3 linked regions of the Caenorhabditis elegans genome follow. The protein of the gene in region 1 interacts with the protein of each later gene in a biochemical or structural test. Each region holds a gene or a part of one and is shown on either strand. Other genes may lie near its edges.

Region 1 (7,429 bases):
TAGTTTAGCAGCGCCCAAATCTTGTAGTTTGTAGCTTAGCAGCGCCCAAATCTTGTAGTTTGTAGTTTAGCAGCGCCCAAATCTTGTAGTTTGTAGTTTAGCAGCGCCCAAAATCGAATTAGCAGCGCCCAAAATCGAATTAGCAGCGCCCAAATCTTGTAGTTTGTAGTTTAGCAGCGCCCAAAATCGAATTAGCAGCGCCCAAATCTAGTAGTTTGTAGTTTAGCAGCGCCCAAAATTGTATTAGCAGCGCCCAAATCTTGTAGTTTGTAGCTTAGCAGCGCCCAAATCTTGTAGTTTGTAGTTTAGCAGCGCCCAAATCTTGTAGTTTGTAGTTTAGCAGCGCCCAAAATCGAATTAGCAGCGCCCAAAATCGAATTAGCAGCGCCCAAATCTTGTAGTTTGTAGTTTAGCAGCGCCCAAAATCGAATTAGCAGCGCCCAAATCTAGTAGTTTGTAGTTTAGCAGCGCCCAAAATTGTATTAGCAGCGCCCAAATCTTGTAGTTTGTAGTTTAGCAGAGCCCAAAATCGAATTAGCAGCGCCCAAATCTAGTAGTTTGTAGTTTAGCAGCGCCCAAATCTAGTAGTTTGTAGTTTAGCAGCGCCCAAAATTGTATTAGCAGCGCCCAAATCTTGTAGTTTGTAGTTTAGCAGCGCCCAAATCTTGTAGTTTGTAGTTTAGCAGCGCCCAAATCTAGTAGTTTGTAGTTTAGCAGCGCCCAAAATTGTATTAGCAGCGCCCAAATCTTGTAGTTTGTAGTTTAGCAGCGCCCAAAATCGAATTAGCAGCGCCCAAATCTAGTAGTTTGTAGTTTAGCAGCGCCCAAATCTTGTAGTTTGTAGTTTAGCAGCGCCCAAATCTAGTAGTTTGTAGTTTAGCAGCGCCCAAATCTTGTAGTTTGTAGCTTAGCAGCGCCCAAATCTTGTAGTTTGTAGTTTAGCAGCGCCCAAATCTTGTAGTTTGTAGTTTAGCAGCGCCCAAAATCGAATTAGCAGCGCCCAAATCTTGTAGTTTGTAGTTTAGCAGCGCCCAAAATCGAATTAGCAGCGCCCAAATCTTGTAGTTTGTAGTTTAGCAGCGCCCAAAATCGAATTAGCAGCGCCCAAAATCGAATAGCAGCGCCCAAATCTTGTAGTTTGTAGTTTAGCAGCGCCCGAAATTGTATTAGCAGCGCCCAATTCTTGTAGTTTGTAGTTTAGCAGCGCCCAAAATCGATTTAGCAGCGCCCAAATCTTGTAGTTTGTAGTTTAGCAGCGCCAAAACTTTTTCCGGCAGTTTTATCGAATTTTGGTCGAATTTAGTGATTTTTCGGAGTTTTTCTGCAGTGAAAAGGCGATTTTTAATCATAATCATAATAAAATGTCATATTTTCAGTTGGTTTTCCTCCCGAAACCACTTGAAATTGCAAACGCACTGCGGAGATCCACGAATCTTGAACAAGTGCACTTTCTGCGGATTCTCCAGCTCCTTCAAAATCCCCTCCACTTCCGTAATCCACGTCTTCAGGCGCTTCTCCGTAACGGCTGCCACGCCATCGGGACGTTTTTCGGCTCCACGGATCAGAACATCGGCCGTCGTTTCTCGAGTTTCATCGTCCAAACGCATCGAGAGAAAGGCTAAAAGCTCGATGAGCTCGTGCTTCACAGCTTTTTGAGCTTCCGAGTTCTCGAGAAGGTGAAGAGCATCCTGGCCTGAAGCTATTGCCTCGCCGACTGCTCCAGTGTCATCTGCTACTAGGTCGACTACTGCGGAAAAATCAATAACCGCATCGTCTTCTGCAGCAATTCCGAAGTCAATTTCATCGCCGCCGCCGAAATCGATCTCATCCGAGTCCTCAGCGGCGGTCAGGAGCATCTCGAAATTCGGTTTTTCCACTTTATCCGGCTTCTGGTTATACTTCCACTCATAAGTCGTCACGTCAAGCCCCCGCTCTCCAATTAACCCGATTATTGGAAGAATCGGAGCAGCATCCTTTGGAGCAGCTCCCAGGCTCATATAGTCCCGGAAGGCCTGAAAGTAGTCGCGGGCCGCGGAGATTTTCCGGATTTCCGCGGTGATTTTCTCGTAGAACGCGGGGAGATCTGCGGCGAGTTCGAGCAGTTCTTTTCGCAAATGAACACCTTTCAACTGCATTCTGGAGATTTCCTTCTCGAATTGTTTCCGGCCATCTTCGGCTTGTTTCCCGTATTCTGAGTGTTTCCTGATTGCATCTGTCACGGATTGATCCATCTTGGAGATTTGTTTCCGCAAGGCCGGAATCTCGTATTGGGCCAGTCGCTGGAGAATTTGGGCCGCTTCTGCCAGGTAGACATTGTCTTTTTTGTACATTCCCTCGATTTCCTGCCAGTCCTTCATACGCTGGGAGGAGTAGAAGCCCAGAAAGTTTTTCGTGTCTTTTTCCGTGTCGCGCAGGATTTCGATGATTTGGCAGCAGTGGAAATAGTTGATATCTGGAAAAAAAATCGAGTTTTTAGCTTAAAAACTGAATTTTTGGCAATTTTCAGGTCAAAAAAAAATAAATTGAATAAAAATCGATTTTTTGAAGATTTTTACGGCAAAAATAGCATTGTAATGCATTTTTCTAACTAAATTTGGCGAAAAATAATTTTAAAAAATGTTATTTTATCAGGTTTTTGCAGAAAAAAAGTTTGGCGCTGCTAATTCAATTTGGGGCGCTGCTAACACTACAAACTACAAGTTTTGGGCGCTGCTAATTCAATTTTGGGCGCTGCTAACACTACAAACTACAAGTTTTGGGCGCTGCTAATCCGGATTTCGAGCTGTTAATGGGAATTTTATCGAAATTTCTGCATTTTTTTCGTAAATTTCGGCACGAAAACTAAATTATAGTCGGTTTTCGCCGCAAAAATCACAATTTTATATGTTTTTCTGACTGTTTTTGGTGCAAAACTGAATTTTTGGCAATTTTTAAATTAAAAATTGAATAAAAATCGATTTTTTGAAGATTTTTACGGCAAAAATAGCATTGTAATGCATTTTCCTAACTAAATTTGGCGAAAAATAATTCAAAAAAATGTTATTTTATCAGGTTTTTGCAGAAAAAAAGTTTGGCGCTGCTAATTCAATTTTGGGCGCTGCTAACACTATAAACTACAAGTTTTGGGCGCTGCTAATCCAGATTTCGAGCTGTTAATGGGAATTTTATCGAAATTTCTGCATTTTTTTCGTAAATTTCGGCACGAAAACTAAATTATAGTCGGTTTTCACCGCAAAAATCACAATTTTATATGTTTTTCTGACTTTTTTGGGTGAAAAACTGAATTTTTGGCAATTTTTAGATTAAAAATTGAATAATTACGGCTTTTTTGACAGAAAAATTTATTATTTTTTCTATTTTAATGATTTTTCTCGCTAAATTTGGCGAAAAACGACTAAAAACTGTAATTTAATTGGATTTTTCTCAAAAAAATGGTTTGGCGCTGCTAACATTACAAACTACAAGTTTTGGGCGCTGCTAATTCAATTTTGGGCGCTGCTAAAACTACAAACTACAAGATTTGGGCGCTGCTAATTCAATTTTGGGCGCTGCTAAGACTACAAACTACAAGTTTTGGGCGCTGCTAATTCAATTTTGGGCGCTGCTAAAACTACAAACTACAAGATTTGGGCGCTGCTAATTCAATTTTGGGCGCTGCTAAAACTACAAACTACAAGATTTGGGCGCTGCTAATCCGGATTTCGAGCTGTTAATGGGACTGTTATTGAATTTTTTGCATTTTTCCGTAAATTTAAAAAGTAAAGGTAAAGGTTGTCCGTTTGGTTCAAGGGTGAGCCTAAGCCTCCTGCGGACAAGAGAGATTTTATTCGTTTTTCTGACTGTTTTTGGTGAAAAACTATTTTTTTTAATCAGATTTTTTGCAAAAAAAACTTGGTAGTCGAGCCTTTTTGTAGTTTTTTAACAATTTTTTGGTCTTTTTTGGGCAAAAAACCAACTAACACGCTCCTTGCAGCAGCTCCACGATTTTCGGCGACTCCGGCATGTCCAAAATGGCATGTTTGATCTTTTCTCGAATCGCCACCACGCTTTTTTGCCAATCTTTGTTGCAATGACGACGGGAAACCAGCCAATCTAAAGTTTTTGCGGTGTTTTTTGGGTTAAAATTAATGGATAACGAGTTACCAAGCAATTTACTGCTGTGAATATCGATTGGCAAGTCGTCTGACATGATTTTTTATCTGAAAAATTAAAATTTTAACTTAAAATTCAATTTTAAATTCAGAAATCTCCCAAAAAAAGAAGAAAATTTCGATGGAAAAATACACGTCAGCCACTGCGTAAATCGACACAAATTTAAAGGCGCATGCGGTTTCGTGTGTGTTGGGTCTCGCAACGCCCGCATTTTTAGGTGTTGATTTGAAATGAGTTTTCCTTTTTTTTTCGTCTTTTTCACTCGAATTTCATGATTTTCAGTTGATTTTCAATTGATTTTTTGGTTTTTTTTGCTGAAAATTAATTATTTTTTGATTAAAAAGCTTTTCGAACAAGAAAATACATGAATTTTGGCCCTAAAAGTGGATTTCAGAGCATGTGGATCTCACATTAATTAATTTAATAATTAACCTTTTTCCAGCGGGACAATGAGTACCGAAAACGGGAAGTCCGCAGATGCGCCGGTGGCGGCACCGGCTGCAAAAGAGTTGACCAGCAAGGACTACTACTTCGACTCGTACGCTCACTTCGGTATCCACGAGGAGATGCTCAAGGACGAGGTGCGAACCACCACCTACCGGAACTCGATCTATCATAACTCGCACTTGTTCAAAGACAAAGTTGTGATGGATGTTGGCTCGGGAACTGGAATTCTTTCCATGTTCGCCGCCAAGGCTGGAGCGAAGAAGGTTTTCGCGGTGAGTTTTTTTTGGATTTTTTGAACGGTTTTTAAAAATTTCCTTTTCCTTCAGATGGAATTCTCCAACATGGCGCTCACCTCCCGCAAAATAATCGCCGACAACAACCTGGACCACATCGTCGAGGTGATTCAGGCGAAGGTAGAGGACGTTCACGAGTTGCCAGGAGGCATTGAGAAGGTCGATATCATCATTTCCGAGTGGATGGGATACTGCTTGTTCTACGAGTCGATGCTCAACACTGTGCTCGTCGCCCGCGATAGATGGTTGGCTCCGAATGGAATGTTGTTCCCGGACAAGGCTCGTCTCTACGTCTGTGCTATCGAGGATCGTCAGTACAAGGAGGACAAGATCCACTGGTGGGATTCAGTCTACGGATTCAACATGTCCGCTATCAAGAACGTCGCGATCAAGGAGCCACTCGTCGATATCGTCGACAACGCTCAGGTCAACACCAACAATTGTCTGCTGAAGGACGTTGATTTGTACACCGTTAAAATCGAGGATCTCACGTTCAAATCGGACTTTAAGCTGAGATGCACTCGCAGCGACTATATTCAAGCTTTCGTCACCTTCTTCACCGTCGAGTTCTCCAAGTGCCACAAGAAAACCGGATTCTCGACTGGGCCAGATGTACAGTACACTCATTGGAAGCAGACCGTCTTTTATCTTAAAGTATGCGCTTAAAAATAACTTTTTTTCGGGTTAAATACCATTTTTCAACAGTTTTTCACCAAATTTAGTCAGTAAATGGTAAAAACTTCGATTTTTGGGCTGAAAATCGACCTTTTCACAGTTTTTGAAACAAAATTCGCCAAAAAATTAAGAAAACATGAATTAGCAGCCCCCAAAACTCGTAGTTTGTAGCTTAGCGGCGCCCAAAACTCGTAGTTTGTAGTTTAGCAGCGCCCAAATCTTGTAGTTTGTAGCTTAGCAGCGCCCAAAACTCGTAGTTTGTAGTCTAGCAGCGCCCACAATCGTAGTTTGTAGCTTAGCAGCGCCCAAATCTTGTAGTTTGTAGCTTAGCAGCGCCCAAAGCTCGTAGTTTGTAGCTTAGCAGCGCGCAAAACTCGTAGTTTGTAGTTTAGCAGCGCCCAAATCTTGTAGTTTGTAGCTTAGAAGCGCCCAAAACTCGTAGTTTGTAGTCTAGCAGCGCCCACAATCGTAGTTTGTAGCTTAGCAGCGCCCAAAATTAAATTAGCAGCGCCCAAATCTTGTAGTTTGTAGTCTAGCAGCGCCCAAAATCGTAGTTTGTAGCTTAGCAGCGCCCAAAACTAGTAGTTTGTAGTTTAGCAGCTCCCAAAAGCGAATTAGCAGCGCCCAAAAGCTTGTAGTTTGTAGTTTAGCAGCGCCCAAATCTTGTAATTTTGTAGTTTAGCAGCGCCCAAAACTAGTAGTTTGTAGTAGTCTTAAGTATTAAATTTGTGTTTTTTTAAAGATTTTTGCACGAATTTTGCACTTTTCTATCGATTTTTCGAGTAAAAACCGGATTTTCTGACTGAAACCGGGGTTTTTAGGCAAAAAGTTGTATTTTTCACTAATTTTCGTTAGCTAGAAAAACCCAGTTTTGTTTTAATAAAAAAGAAAAAAAATTGCAATTTTCACATCATCTTTGACTTCAAATTCGACACTTTCGATTCAAATTTTATTTTTTTTTTCAATTTTTCGATTTTTTCAGGACGCGCTCACAGTAAAGAAAGGCGAGGAAATAACCGGATCATTCGAGATGGCACCAAACAAGAACAACGAACGTGACTTGGATATCAACATTTCGTTCGATTTCAAGGGAGAAGTGTGTGATCTCAACGAGCAGAACACCTACACCATGCACTAATTTTTGCTGTTTTTTTTTTCGTCTTTTTTCTCACACTTTTTTGCCCCCAATTTTTACACTTTGTTGATCCCCCGTTGTTCCCCCCGAAACCTCCCGATTTCCGCAGATACTCGATTGTATATACCTCGATGCGGGTTGTTGTCGCGCACCTCCTCTATCCGCGCGCACGCTCACTCTGCTCGGTACTCCATTTGTTGACCTTTTTCCATAAAAAAAAATCTGCCAAAATTCAAGTTTTTTGCAATTTTTAAGCGATTTTATAATTTATAGGTTACGCAGCCTTTAGATATATTTTTAATATTCAATCAATAGTGAGCAGCGCCAAAAGAAAAACCGAAAAATTATTTTTAAAAAAGTTTAGCACAAAAAAAATGGAAGACGGCGATGAAGTGGTGGAGCCTATCGAGCCGGAATCCGAAGACATTGTGAATCTCACAAAACGACTAGGAGTGGATCTCGTGCTGGAATCCAATGATGACTGGAAAATCCAGGAAATCGGATTTGACGGTGTGGAGAGGTACCTGCAGCCCGAGACGTTCACTGATCATGTTGGAAAATTGGCTCGGAAGGTGGAATGGACGAAGCTAGTGGGCACAAAATCGCCTTATGAAAATTCGAAGGTTGATCCCGAAGATGAACTCGATGATGAGGTAGAAGCCGGCGAAAATCAAGAAAAATCGAATAATTTTCGGGAAAAAGTCAGAAAATCATCGATTTTCAGGCT
Region 2 (5,537 bases), about 10 Mb from region 1:
CACTTCCAATTTCAGAAACAACTCCAGAACTCTCATGGCCTAAAACCTGAAAACTTTTTTTTTTAATTTTTAAATACACTTTTTTGTTCACTGGAGTTTTTTAACAGAAATATTTTATTTTAAAATTGATTATTTTGATTAAAAAAAGGAGGTTGTACTATACATGTGTTCTGTCAAAATAAAAGGGTTGAATTACTCACGGTAACACTATAAAATTACTTTTATATTTCTCACCATCGGTTCTTTAACAACAAATGATCCAATTGCTCCGTGTGTCAAAAAGTGTACATCACTTCCACAAATACCAACAGTATTAATTTTAACAAGAACTTGTCTTGGTCCCGGTTTGGAAATTGGAGCTTGTTCAAGACGTAAATCGTTTATTCCGTAGAGGACAGCAGACAAATTATCTTGAGACATTTCAAATTAGAAGGATTTAATATCAGGTTAAAAATTGAATAAAAGGATGCTTTCACGAATAAGCGGATGCTGAGCTCAACTACGTTGTTGTTGAGAGTCTGGCAGAATGGACACATGTCAGTGCCCAGTACAAAATGTTACACCCATTTATTTTGATATTATCGCATCAAGCCAAGCTGGTCAAAAACTAAAACAACTTTATCACAGGAATTCAAACAGAAAATTCATACTACATCCTACTGGTGTTCATTAGTAAATATATAATACAAGACGTATAAGACAATTTTCAGAAATTCCAAATATCAGGTTACCATAAATCTCGGAATTAATACGAAACATCATACTAGTTAAATGACAATTTTGTAAGTCAGATGAAACATTGAAGGAATGTTTAATGTTTGCACAGTAATTAGCTAAAAATTTCAAAATTTGATTTTGTTGAAGAACTTTAAATTCAAAATTATTTTGCCCGAAAGTTGAGGATTTTTTTCTATTGAAACAAGAATGTATGTTATCCTGTGCATAAATGAGTATGAAACAAAAAAAAGTCCCATTAGAAATCATAGACATGGTCTAGCTTTTAAACCATTAGGTTTGCGGATCAAGATTAAAATTCGAATTTCGGTACCGCTTTTATTGGGGATATCAAAAATTGGTTTGCGCTGCTGTGGAGGAGTGCCGAAAAAATAGTATTAATTCGTGAATTTTCATGTGCATATTATTCGATCAGAAAGTTAAACGAGCATTCTAGATTGAATATCAAAAGTTTCGGAATCATAGAATTAGAGAAAATTATTTGTTTGTTTTATAGTCTGTTTTTTATGCCATTTTTTGCCTAAATTAAAAATTGAAATATGAGTTGTGTTGTTTCTTGTTATTTAGTAACAAACATAAAGTCACTTTTGTCGTAAGATATATTTTGTAGTCAGGTAGTTGAAATGTCATCATCACCGTTATCTTTCTAGAAACTCAATCAATAATACATGAGACGCAGACACTACAAATACGCTATTCTCTGTTCTGTGATCTCGCTACGAACCAGGCTACAAACTACAACCTAGCCGTCTCACGCACACTATTTCTCTTCTTTGTAGTCTTCTCTGTCAATACACTCCAATACATTTGGCCACACAAACGTGTCTCGCCTCTATTTTCTCTTATTTCTCACCTTTTTATTTTCTACATTTTTCAATTTTTGATATAATAATTTTTCGTTACAAAATCTTAATATTTTCAGGAAAATAAAAATTTTCACAAAATGGAGCAGATACCTCAGGAACAAAAAACAGAACCTTTTCTTGCTTCATTCACGACTACAGAAAAACTTGGAACGGAAACACCGACTACGTCAATTACTCCTAATACTCAATTTCGTGGAAGGTATGAAAAACCAAATTGTGCGGTTTGCAATGAAGTTGGAGATGGATTACATTTTGGAGCAGAAGCTTGCAGGTACCTTTTTGATTTTTTATTGATCACCGGTTGTTTTAGTAATTGAAAAGTTTATCGGGCAATCGACTTCAAGAATTTTTAAAATTCATTTATATATTTGATTAACTTTTTCCAATTATTTTTTAACAAGATCTCAATTGAAAGTTCTAATAGCTTAACACTTATAATTTCCAAAAAACTTTAAGAGCATGTACTGCATTTTTCCGACGGAGCGTGGCACTTTCAAAGAAATATGAATGCAGAGCAGGCAGAAACTGTGAAGTTTCTTCGAGTAAGTATAGCGATCATTTTTCAAATTATTTGTTTTCTTCTTTCAGATATTCGATGCATGTGCCGCTCGTGTCGATATGACAAATGTATAGAAGTTGGAATGAATCCAGAATGTGTTCAGAATCGTCGAGAAAACGATACTCCCAAAGCTGATCTTCAATTTGATACTTCAAAAACTGAAATCAGACGACCAATTCCAAATTTTAATATTGTTCCACAGGCTTCAGCTGTTCCATCAACATCCAACTTTATGGATTTTTCAATATTCAAAGATACACCAATCAGTAATTTTTCGGCATTCTCCCCTGCATCGCTTCCTGGACTCAGTTCTTCACCATCTCTTGAAACGATGCCTCTTCTCGAAAGAATGAGAATTAATTATGATAAAATGGAAAATGCAAGGAATGTGATTCATCGAAGAGAAGGAGAAAATATATTTCAACAAAAAGTTCCAAGAGCAATCACATTTCGAGAGGCAACTGAAGTAACAACAAAGGAAGTTTCATTAGTTGCTGATTGGATCGAATGGTGTTTTGACGATTTTGGATTATTACCTGTTGATCAGAAAACGATTTTGTTTCAAAACTTTTTTGTGTTTTTCTGTATGCTTGAAAGAGCATTCATGACTGTCAAAAGTGGTGAGTTTTTTTTTGAAAACTAATACGAGAAATCAAAACTTTAAAACATGAATGATTTCAGGACGTGATGGAATTGTTGTAATGGCTTCAAAAGACTATATTGACTACGATAATCTTGAAGGATTTTTCAAAGAATGCAATAGTGGAACAGGTGGTACTCCTGCAGAAATTGCAAAGTAAGTAAATGTTCCGTTCATGAAACGTTGTCCTGACAGTGGTACTTCAGACTTTGCAGACTGATTAGGCCGTCATTCGAATTACAAAAGAGGAGTCTTATCAACTTGATGCGATTGGAAAATGTAGATTCTTACGAGTTTTTTGCATTATGCGTTATGTTGTTCTGGGATTTTGGATTGGAAGGACAGTCTGATGAGTGTAATGAAGTTGGACGACGAGTCAAACATCGAGTTACAAGAGAAATGACTTTTTATTTGAGAAATGTTAAGAAACACGAAGAACCACTTTATAGGATGGCAAGTGTCGTGTCTATTCTGCCAAGCTTACAGGTAATTTTTTGATAAATTATTCATTGAAAAATCGAAAGTACGGTGTTTAACTATTTTTATTCCAGAGAGCAGTTCGCCGTTTCCAAGAGGACATCGAAATGGCTAATATCTTCAATATTTATGCTCTACCTGAGAATTTCGTCAATATTATAAATGGAAAATTTAATTGATTGTGGTTTTTCTATCTGTGATATACTTTTGTCCATCTTTCATTGAAACCTTGTAACTAATAGCTGTGATCTTTTTCGAAAAATTAAATAAATAAGTATTAATTAAACTTTCTCGGTCAAAATTTTGGAATATCACTTATGATTGTTTTGTTGAAAACTCCGCTTTTCAATTTCAAATTTTAACTGTGTACATGAACTAGCAAATTTAAACAAAATGAAAATGGTAATTCCCTAGAAAATATGAAAATATGCTCTATCCGTTAGTTGTTACTCTTAAAATAAGTTTAAGTAGAAAACAGTTTCCAATCTTCTGACCCTTTGAACATAAAAATGTAGTTATTGTAGTTTGGCTTCATACTTGAAAATAGCACGATTTTGTAAGAGAGTTTTGGTTGTACCCGATAAGAAAAAACAAGTCTCAACAGGTCACAAAGGCTACAAACGTAGGCAGTATCTCAATTCTCTCACTTGGACCAGGCAACGTATTCTCTTGTTCGTATCTTTCTACTTTTTGTCTGTGTTTCTATTTCTATTGCACTCACTTATAATATTATGAAGTTATGGATTCATTGAATTTCCAATTTTTTGAACAAGGATTATCACAAAAGGAAACAAAAAAACCGAACTGTGCAATTTGTGGCGATGTTGGGGATGGTCATCACTTTGGTCTCGATGCGTGCAGGTTGGTTTCAAATAATGGGGTTATTCAAGTAATATCGGAAAATTAAAGTGTAGAAAAATTACGACGCAACTGTATTCAAGTATATAAAAACATGTATTTAAATACATTTTGCTACATTGCTTAAATAACCTCATAAGAATATTATTGTTTAAGTTACAATAACAATTTTAATTTAAGAGCTTGTGCCGCATTTTTCCGAAGAACTGTGGCTCTGGGAAAAAAATTCGAATGTCGACAGCAAGGAGCTTGTAAAATTAATACAAGTGAGTTTTTTCATTACTTCTTATTCTCCATTAATTTTAATTTGTTTCAGTCATTCGTTCAATATGTAAAAGTTGCCGTTTGAACAAATGCCTAAACTTGGGAATGAAAAGAAGTTGTGTTCAACCAAGAAGAGATAAACCTCAAAAAGAAGAAAAACTAATTTTACCGTCCATGAATGTTAGTCCAGCTGATATTGAAGTCTCATGCATTGAAGTTCCGATAGCTGTTGAAGCTATGCCCATTCTTCAGAAAATGCTGGCGAATTACGAAAAATTGAAAAATTCGAGAAATATCATCCATAGAAGAGAAGGTGATAATATATTTGAGAAACGAACTCCGAGATCTTTGAAATTTCGAGAAACATTGGAAATATTATCAAATGAAATGTCACTGGTTGCTGATTGGATTGGATGGTGCTTCAATGAATTTGAATTTCTTCCAACTGATCAGAAATCAATTCTTTTCTCAAACTTTTCTGTCAATTTTATTGTTTTGGAAAGAGCATTTTTGACAAGTAAACACAGTAAGCTAATAATTTATTGTTTGAATATATTTATTGTTTGAACACATGTATTTTAAAAATAATTTTTTCAGATAACCTAAACCAATGGGTTTTGCAATCGGGTGATTATATACAAATTGACAACCTTGAAGAATTTTTCACAGATGAACAACTAAAAATTGATGGTACAAAACTTGCCAAGTACGTTAAAGTCCAATTGAATAATTATTAAATATTTACATTTTCAGACTTTTCAAGCCATCACTAGAGCAAAATGATAACTTTCATAAACTTTTGAAGTCAGAAAAAATTGAAATGTACGATTTTCTGGTTTTTGTTGTTTTATTATTCTGGGATCATGGAATTGTTGGACAAACAGAAGAGTGCCGAGAAATATCCAAAAAGATGAAATCAAATGTTACAAATGAATACATTTATTATTTGAAGTATATTCAAAAAAATGAGAACCCAGTATGTCAGTTGACAATGCTTGTGTCGATATTAACATGCTTGCAGGTACAGTTGATATTATTTCATTAATTTAATAATTAAAATAACATTTCCAGAGAATCGTCTGTCGATTACGAGAAGATATGTCACTCGCTCATGTTTTTGATGGTTATACGCTTCCAC
Region 3 (5,362 bases), about 14 Mb from region 1:
TTTATTTTTTGGATTTAGTTAGATTTTTTAAATAATCAAAAACCGATTTCTTGCCGATGTCATACTGTAGACACTGTGAGAAGTAGGACTACCTCAATATTGATAAGTGCCTACCTATGTGCCTAGAAGGCAGGTGTGGCTTGCATTGAACTTAACAGTAGACGTAGGTCTCTTGAAGTTTTGCTTCCAGGCAGGCAGGTAGGCATTTGAATAATTTAAAGCTATAGTAAGGAGTACGGTAAATTACAATATCATTTCGTGATAAATTTCAGGCAAGATCGAAATCATTTTGCAATGCTCTACACCTTTCCTTATATTACGTCAACTTGTGATCGTGTCAGACTTTTTGTTCGAAATGCAGTTTCCTGGAGTTCAGAGGTCTAAAAATATTCCTGAAAAAATTATAATTCTAGATGTTCAGGTGAACCGAGCCCGAGTAGCATGCGAATGTGAAAAAATTGTGGAAATGACGCGTGGCTAACGAGGTACTTCTCGTCGCCGATCTTTCTCTTGACCAGGACCGAATAAATATTTGAAAATGCACTTATTGTTTGTTCTCAATGCCGAATTGTTTACAATGTACCTTTTGGTAAAGAGGAACTCGTTTGTACTGGCCAGCTAATAAAATATTCACATTATTCTTCATACTATGTTTTCATATAGAATTTATCAATTTTATAATTTAGATGATAACGAGTGCTGTACTCCTGGAGTCCACCAGGACTTGATAAGAGAATTGAAGCACCACTTTTATAATGAGCAGTACTAATTTCGAATCTGGAAATGATATTTCAGAAACAATCCAGGAAACACCAGAAAAATATCACCACTTTGAAAAATATGTGCATTTATTCAATTATGCTCAAATTTCAGCTTTGGCTCACGAGTGATACGGTCAACCACAATTTTCTCCAGAGTACGCAATTTACGCAAACACCAAACGATGGCGCCAAAGCGCCATTCAAATTTTATTCATCCGTTTCAGCCTTTTTCAGTCTTCTTGTCTCTCATTTTCGCCATTTTCATTGTTTTATTTACACAAACGGTCGTTTAAAATGTAGTTTCCATCTTTTTCCGATGGTTCATCATTTTTGTCATGCGTCTTTTGTGAAACTGGTTTTGCAAAACGAAGCAAAAAATGGATAACTGTGTCAAGGGCGATTTTTCGATTCGTCATGTCCACATAAACGCGATAATGTGTTTTTATCGTTGGTTTCATTCAGAAATTGGTTGATAAATACATTCTACTACATTCTGGCTGTGTGATCCAATTTTTAAATCCGAAAGTCTAGAAATTTAGTGCAAAATAAGCATGGAAAGTTCTAAACCCCTTAAAGAATACTGATCTCAGCTGTTTCTGTTCTTTTCAATCAGATTCCCAATTGCGATAATATCAAAAAGCCCTCTGCTGGACTGCTGTCCACCCGCAAGGGCATTATTTCCTTATCCCAAAATGCTCTCCGTCTGCATCTCTTCAACTCACTCACTCTCTCGCTCTCTTCGCAGTGCGAGGCCGACACGCAACGTGGCCTCTCATCAGACACGCTCCGCCTATTCTCAATGTGTGGCGACCGCCGATTGGCCAGTCGCTGACGTGGACCAATAGATACGCGGCACCTCGAGCCGTGTCAGCCACGCAAGACACACGTCGACTTACTCCATTGTCGTAGCAGACGAGCTCAGTTCAACATCATCAGTTTCAGTTTTGCTCTTGTTCGGTTTCATTTCTAGTCTTTCTTCTCTGAAATTCTCGAATTTTATTCTTTGGTATATTCTCATTCAATTTATCTCTTCTTTTTCCGATTCATATGTTTAATTGTTATATTTACTTTTTAATTTCAGATTCAACTTGGTGTCGTTTTATCGAAAAACGAAATGAAATCACTCTGCCTGTTAGCAATCGTTGCCGTCGTTTCGGCTGAAGTCTACTTCAAAGAGGAGTTCAACGACGCCTCATGGGAGAAGCGATGGGTTCAATCCAAGCACAAGGATGACTTTGGAGCCTTCAAGCTCTCAGCTGGAAAGTTCTTCGATGTTGAGTCCCGCGACCAAGGAATCCAGACCAGCCAAGATGCCAAGTTCTACTCCCGTGCCGCCAAGTTCGACAAGGACTTCTCCAACAAAGGAAAGACTCTTGTGATCCAATACACCGTCAAGCACGAGCAAGGAATCGACTGTGGAGGTGGATACGTTAAGGTTAGTATTTTAAATTTCTTGATGTGATAATTTTTTCGCATTAGTTTGTTAGTATCAAAACATGTTTCTCAATTAAAACAATATTTATTTTCCAGGTCATGAGAGCTGATGCTGACTTGGGAGATTTCCACGGAGAGACCCCATACAACGTCATGTTCGGCCCAGACATCTGCGGACCAACTCGCCGTGTCCACGTTATCCTTAACTACAAGGGAGAGAACAAGCTCATCAAGAAGGAAATCACCTGCAAGAGCGACGAACTCACTCATCTCTACACTCTCATCCTCAACTCCGACAATACCTACGAAGTCAAGATCGACGGAGAAAGCGCCCAAACTGGAAGCCTCGAGGAGGACTGGGATCTTCTTCCAGCCAAGAAGATCAAGGATCCAGATGCAAAGAAGCCAGAGGACTGGGATGAGCGTGAGTACATCGATGATGCCGAGGATGCCAAGCCAGAAGATTGGGAGAAGCCAGAGCACATCCCAGATCCAGATGCCAAGAAGCCAGAAGACTGGGATGACGAGATGGACGGAGAATGGGAGCCACCAATGATCGACAACCCAGAATACAAGGGTGAGTGGAAGCCAAAGCAGATCAAGAACCCAGCCTACAAGGGCAAGTGGATCCATCCAGAGATTGAGAACCCAGAGTACACTCCTGATGATGAACTCTACTCTTATGAAAGCTGGGGAGCCATCGGATTCGATTTGTGGCAGGTAAGAAACTTTTATTCTATTTTTCAAAAATGAAACTCAAACTTTATTTTTTCAGGTCAAGTCAGGAACGATCTTTGACAACATTATCATCACCGACTCTGTTGAGGAGGCCGAGGCCCATGCTGCCGAGACTTTTGACAAATTGAAGACTGTTGAGAAGGAAAAGAAGGAGAAGGCCGACGAAGAAACCCGCAAGGCTGAGGAGGAGGCTCGCAAGAAGGCCGAGGAGGAGAAGGAGGCCAAGAAGGATGATGATGAGGAGGAGAAGGAAGAGGAGGAAGGACACGATGAGCTCTAAGCAAATCGTGCACAGCTTTTCAACTCGCTTCATACAATCGCCCCCACTCCATCACAATTCCCCCGCATTCAAGTCTCTCCTATTCTCTCGGGTTAATTGATTGTTTTATTAATTTATTGAGCATCCATTTTGATGCTGGATAGCCTTTCTTGTTTTATAATAAAAAAATTTTAAAACCTATTTACGAGTTCGATTAGTTCAATGAATATAAAATACAGGATCAGATACATAGAAAAGCGATAAAAACCGGCACAAAATAGGAAATTGATATGTGATTCAATTAAAGTGATTGACGCAACTTCAGCCATTCTACAAGCCAATTGGGAAGCGTTTCCTCGCATTCGAGCATAAAAGAACACAGCTGCTCGATAATATTCGACATTGGTCCGCCAAATAAATGATGCTCATCGATGAGGACAGTAGCTCTTCCACCACATCCATCGCGACCAACTCGTCCGATTCTATGCATGTAGCTCGGAAAATCGGTGGACATTTCCATGATTATTGTCTGAAATATGTGACTTAAGATAAAAAATATTTGGGTCAATAGTAGCCATGTTTTTATCAATTTAATATATATGTAAACTTACCTGTTTCACAGAAGACACATCGATTCCTCTCGACATAATATTGGTACATACAACTCCATGAATGTTGCAAAACTCCAAATCATTCAAAGTGATTGCTTGTTGTTGTTTCAACACACTACTGCATACAGGTTTGAAATTATATCCCATCTGACGAAGTGCCATAGTTACCTGAAAATGTTCTCAATATTTTTAAAATCGAAAGAATAGGGGTAAAACCTGAATAACTCTTGAGACAGTTTCACAGAAAATTGCAATAGTATGCTTCCATGGGCCTTCTTTTGTGCTTCCCATTTCCTTGAGATCATCATCTAACAATTTACAAATAATATTCATCTTAACGATCCAAGGATTCGAATGGATATCATTTACTCGCTGTCCACCAATTCGAATAACTCGTTGAGTGATATATCCAGGCAATCTCGGACAATGGATCAGTGACCATGGATTTTCACCTAACATTCTTGATTGACGTGAAGTTAATGCAATTGAACCATCTTCGTTTCTGTTGTGAGACGCAGAAAAGAAACAAGATTGAAGATTTCTGAGCACATCCTCTTGTAGTTGGTCTAAAACCCAATCAATGTCATTTCCGAAGCATGCAATGTCAATCATTTTATCAGATTCATCCAAAATCATCATTTTCAAATTGTCAAGAAGAATTGTTTTATCCTCGATCGATGCTTTCAGCTTTCCCATCGTACAGAACGCAATATCGCATTGATCTATAAAGAATTCGTTTTTTTTTGGTTAGACGAATGCTGTAACGAACCTTTTGTGAACTGATAGCTAGCAACTAGTTTTTCAATTTTAATATCTCGAATAGGTATAATATCTTCCATATCTATCAAACCAAGAAGAACTTCACAACGATTAAAAAGTTGTTCAACGAGTGAGTTGGTATTTGCAAGAATAAGAATAGTTGGTGATGGCGTGGTTGAAATATTGGTAAGCAATGGTCGCTCCCTCAATGCAATTTCAATCGCCGGAATAAGAAACGCATAAGTCTTCCCGATTCCAGTTGGAGCATCCACTAGAAGTCCTCGGCGGTCACGAATAGCTTGAATTGATTTTTGTTGAACTGCATTCAGAATATGAACTTTTATTCGTTGCAAATTGGCGGCAAGTCGGTGATCTTCTATTGCATGTGCAACCATCCTCTCTGTTCCATAATCAGCTGGAGTTTCTACTCCGTCTTGATCCACCATTATCGTGTTCTCCTCACAGTGTTTATTCAATTTGTCAGTTTCAGCTTTTGAAGATGTGACTGCGCCCAACTGCTGATGACGATCTCTCATTGCTGAAGAAAAGTTATTGAAATATTTAATTGCCCAGAACATGGTTTACCAAAATAATAATCTCTAGTTTTAATAGATCTGAAGTTGAGTACATTTGCATACTTTGGAGGAACTAAATCAATGTGCTCAACTTGTACCCGACTATCGTCTAATGCATCGGCAGTGTTCCAAGGATGAGGCATCTACAAAGATTATTACAAAAATGTTTATATTTTGGTTTGAAAATAAATATTTGAACGAAAAGTAACGGTTTTTACGACACAA

What was found. Proteins that work in one complex are often made in the same cells at the same time.
Region 2: of the proteins of prmt-1 (region 1) and nhr-12, one has a biochemical effect on the other in vitro, tested with the Caenorhabditis elegans proteins (one study listed by BioGRID).
Region 3: of the proteins of prmt-1 (region 1) and crt-1, one has a biochemical effect on the other in vitro, tested with the Caenorhabditis elegans proteins (one study listed by BioGRID).

Annotation. Positions count from the first base shown.
Region 1 is NC_003283.11:20,266,877-20,274,305, reverse strand, and holds prmt-1 (Protein arginine N-methyltransferase 1), read left to right. Parts: upstream 1-4,594; 5' UTR 4,595-4,601; coding exon 4,602-4,871; intron 4,872-4,925; coding exon 4,926-5,546; intron 5,547-6,549; coding exon 6,550-6,705; 3' UTR 6,706-6,929; downstream 6,930-7,429. Other genes in the region: cdkr-3 (CDK5RAP3 protein homolog), read right to left, coding at 1,417-2,452, 3,961-4,092, 4,144-4,189; mdt-17 (Mediator of RNA polymerase II transcription subunit 17), read left to right, coding at 7,077-7,355. UniProt on the Caenorhabditis elegans protein: Arginine methyltransferase that methylates (mono and asymmetric dimethylation) the guanidino nitrogens of arginyl residues present in target proteins.
Region 2 is NC_003283.11:10,080,164-10,085,700, reverse strand, and holds nhr-12 (Nuclear receptor), read left to right. Parts: upstream 1-1,651; 5' UTR 1,652-1,678; coding exon 1,679-1,872; intron 1,873-2,057; coding exon 2,058-2,143; intron 2,144-2,189; coding exon 2,190-2,780; intron 2,781-2,841; coding exon 2,842-2,956; intron 2,957-3,006; coding exon 3,007-3,286; intron 3,287-3,351; coding exon 3,352-3,456; 3' UTR 3,457-3,568; downstream 3,569-5,537. Other genes in the region: R04B5.6 (Sorbitol dehydrogenase), read right to left, coding at 1-46, 235-420; nhr-205 (Nuclear Hormone Receptor family), read left to right, coding at 4,017-4,138, 4,316-4,401, 4,452-4,925, 4,997-5,105, 5,153-5,420, 5,471-5,537. UniProt on the Caenorhabditis elegans protein: Orphan nuclear receptor.
Region 3 is NC_003283.11:6,097,023-6,102,384, reverse strand, and holds crt-1 (Calreticulin), read left to right. Parts: upstream 1-1,842; 5' UTR 1,843-1,875; coding exon 1,876-2,196; intron 2,197-2,291; coding exon 2,292-2,915; intron 2,916-2,970; coding exon 2,971-3,213; 3' UTR 3,214-3,393; downstream 3,394-5,362. Other genes in the region: Y38A10A.11 (DNA-directed DNA polymerase), read left to right, coding at 273-378, 422-481; smut-1 (Synthetic MUTator), read right to left, coding at 3,494-3,721, 3,804-3,971, 4,020-4,525, 4,573-5,100, 5,148-5,280. UniProt on the Caenorhabditis elegans protein: Molecular calcium-binding chaperone promoting folding, oligomeric assembly and quality control in the endoplasmic reticulum (ER) via the calreticulin/calnexin cycle.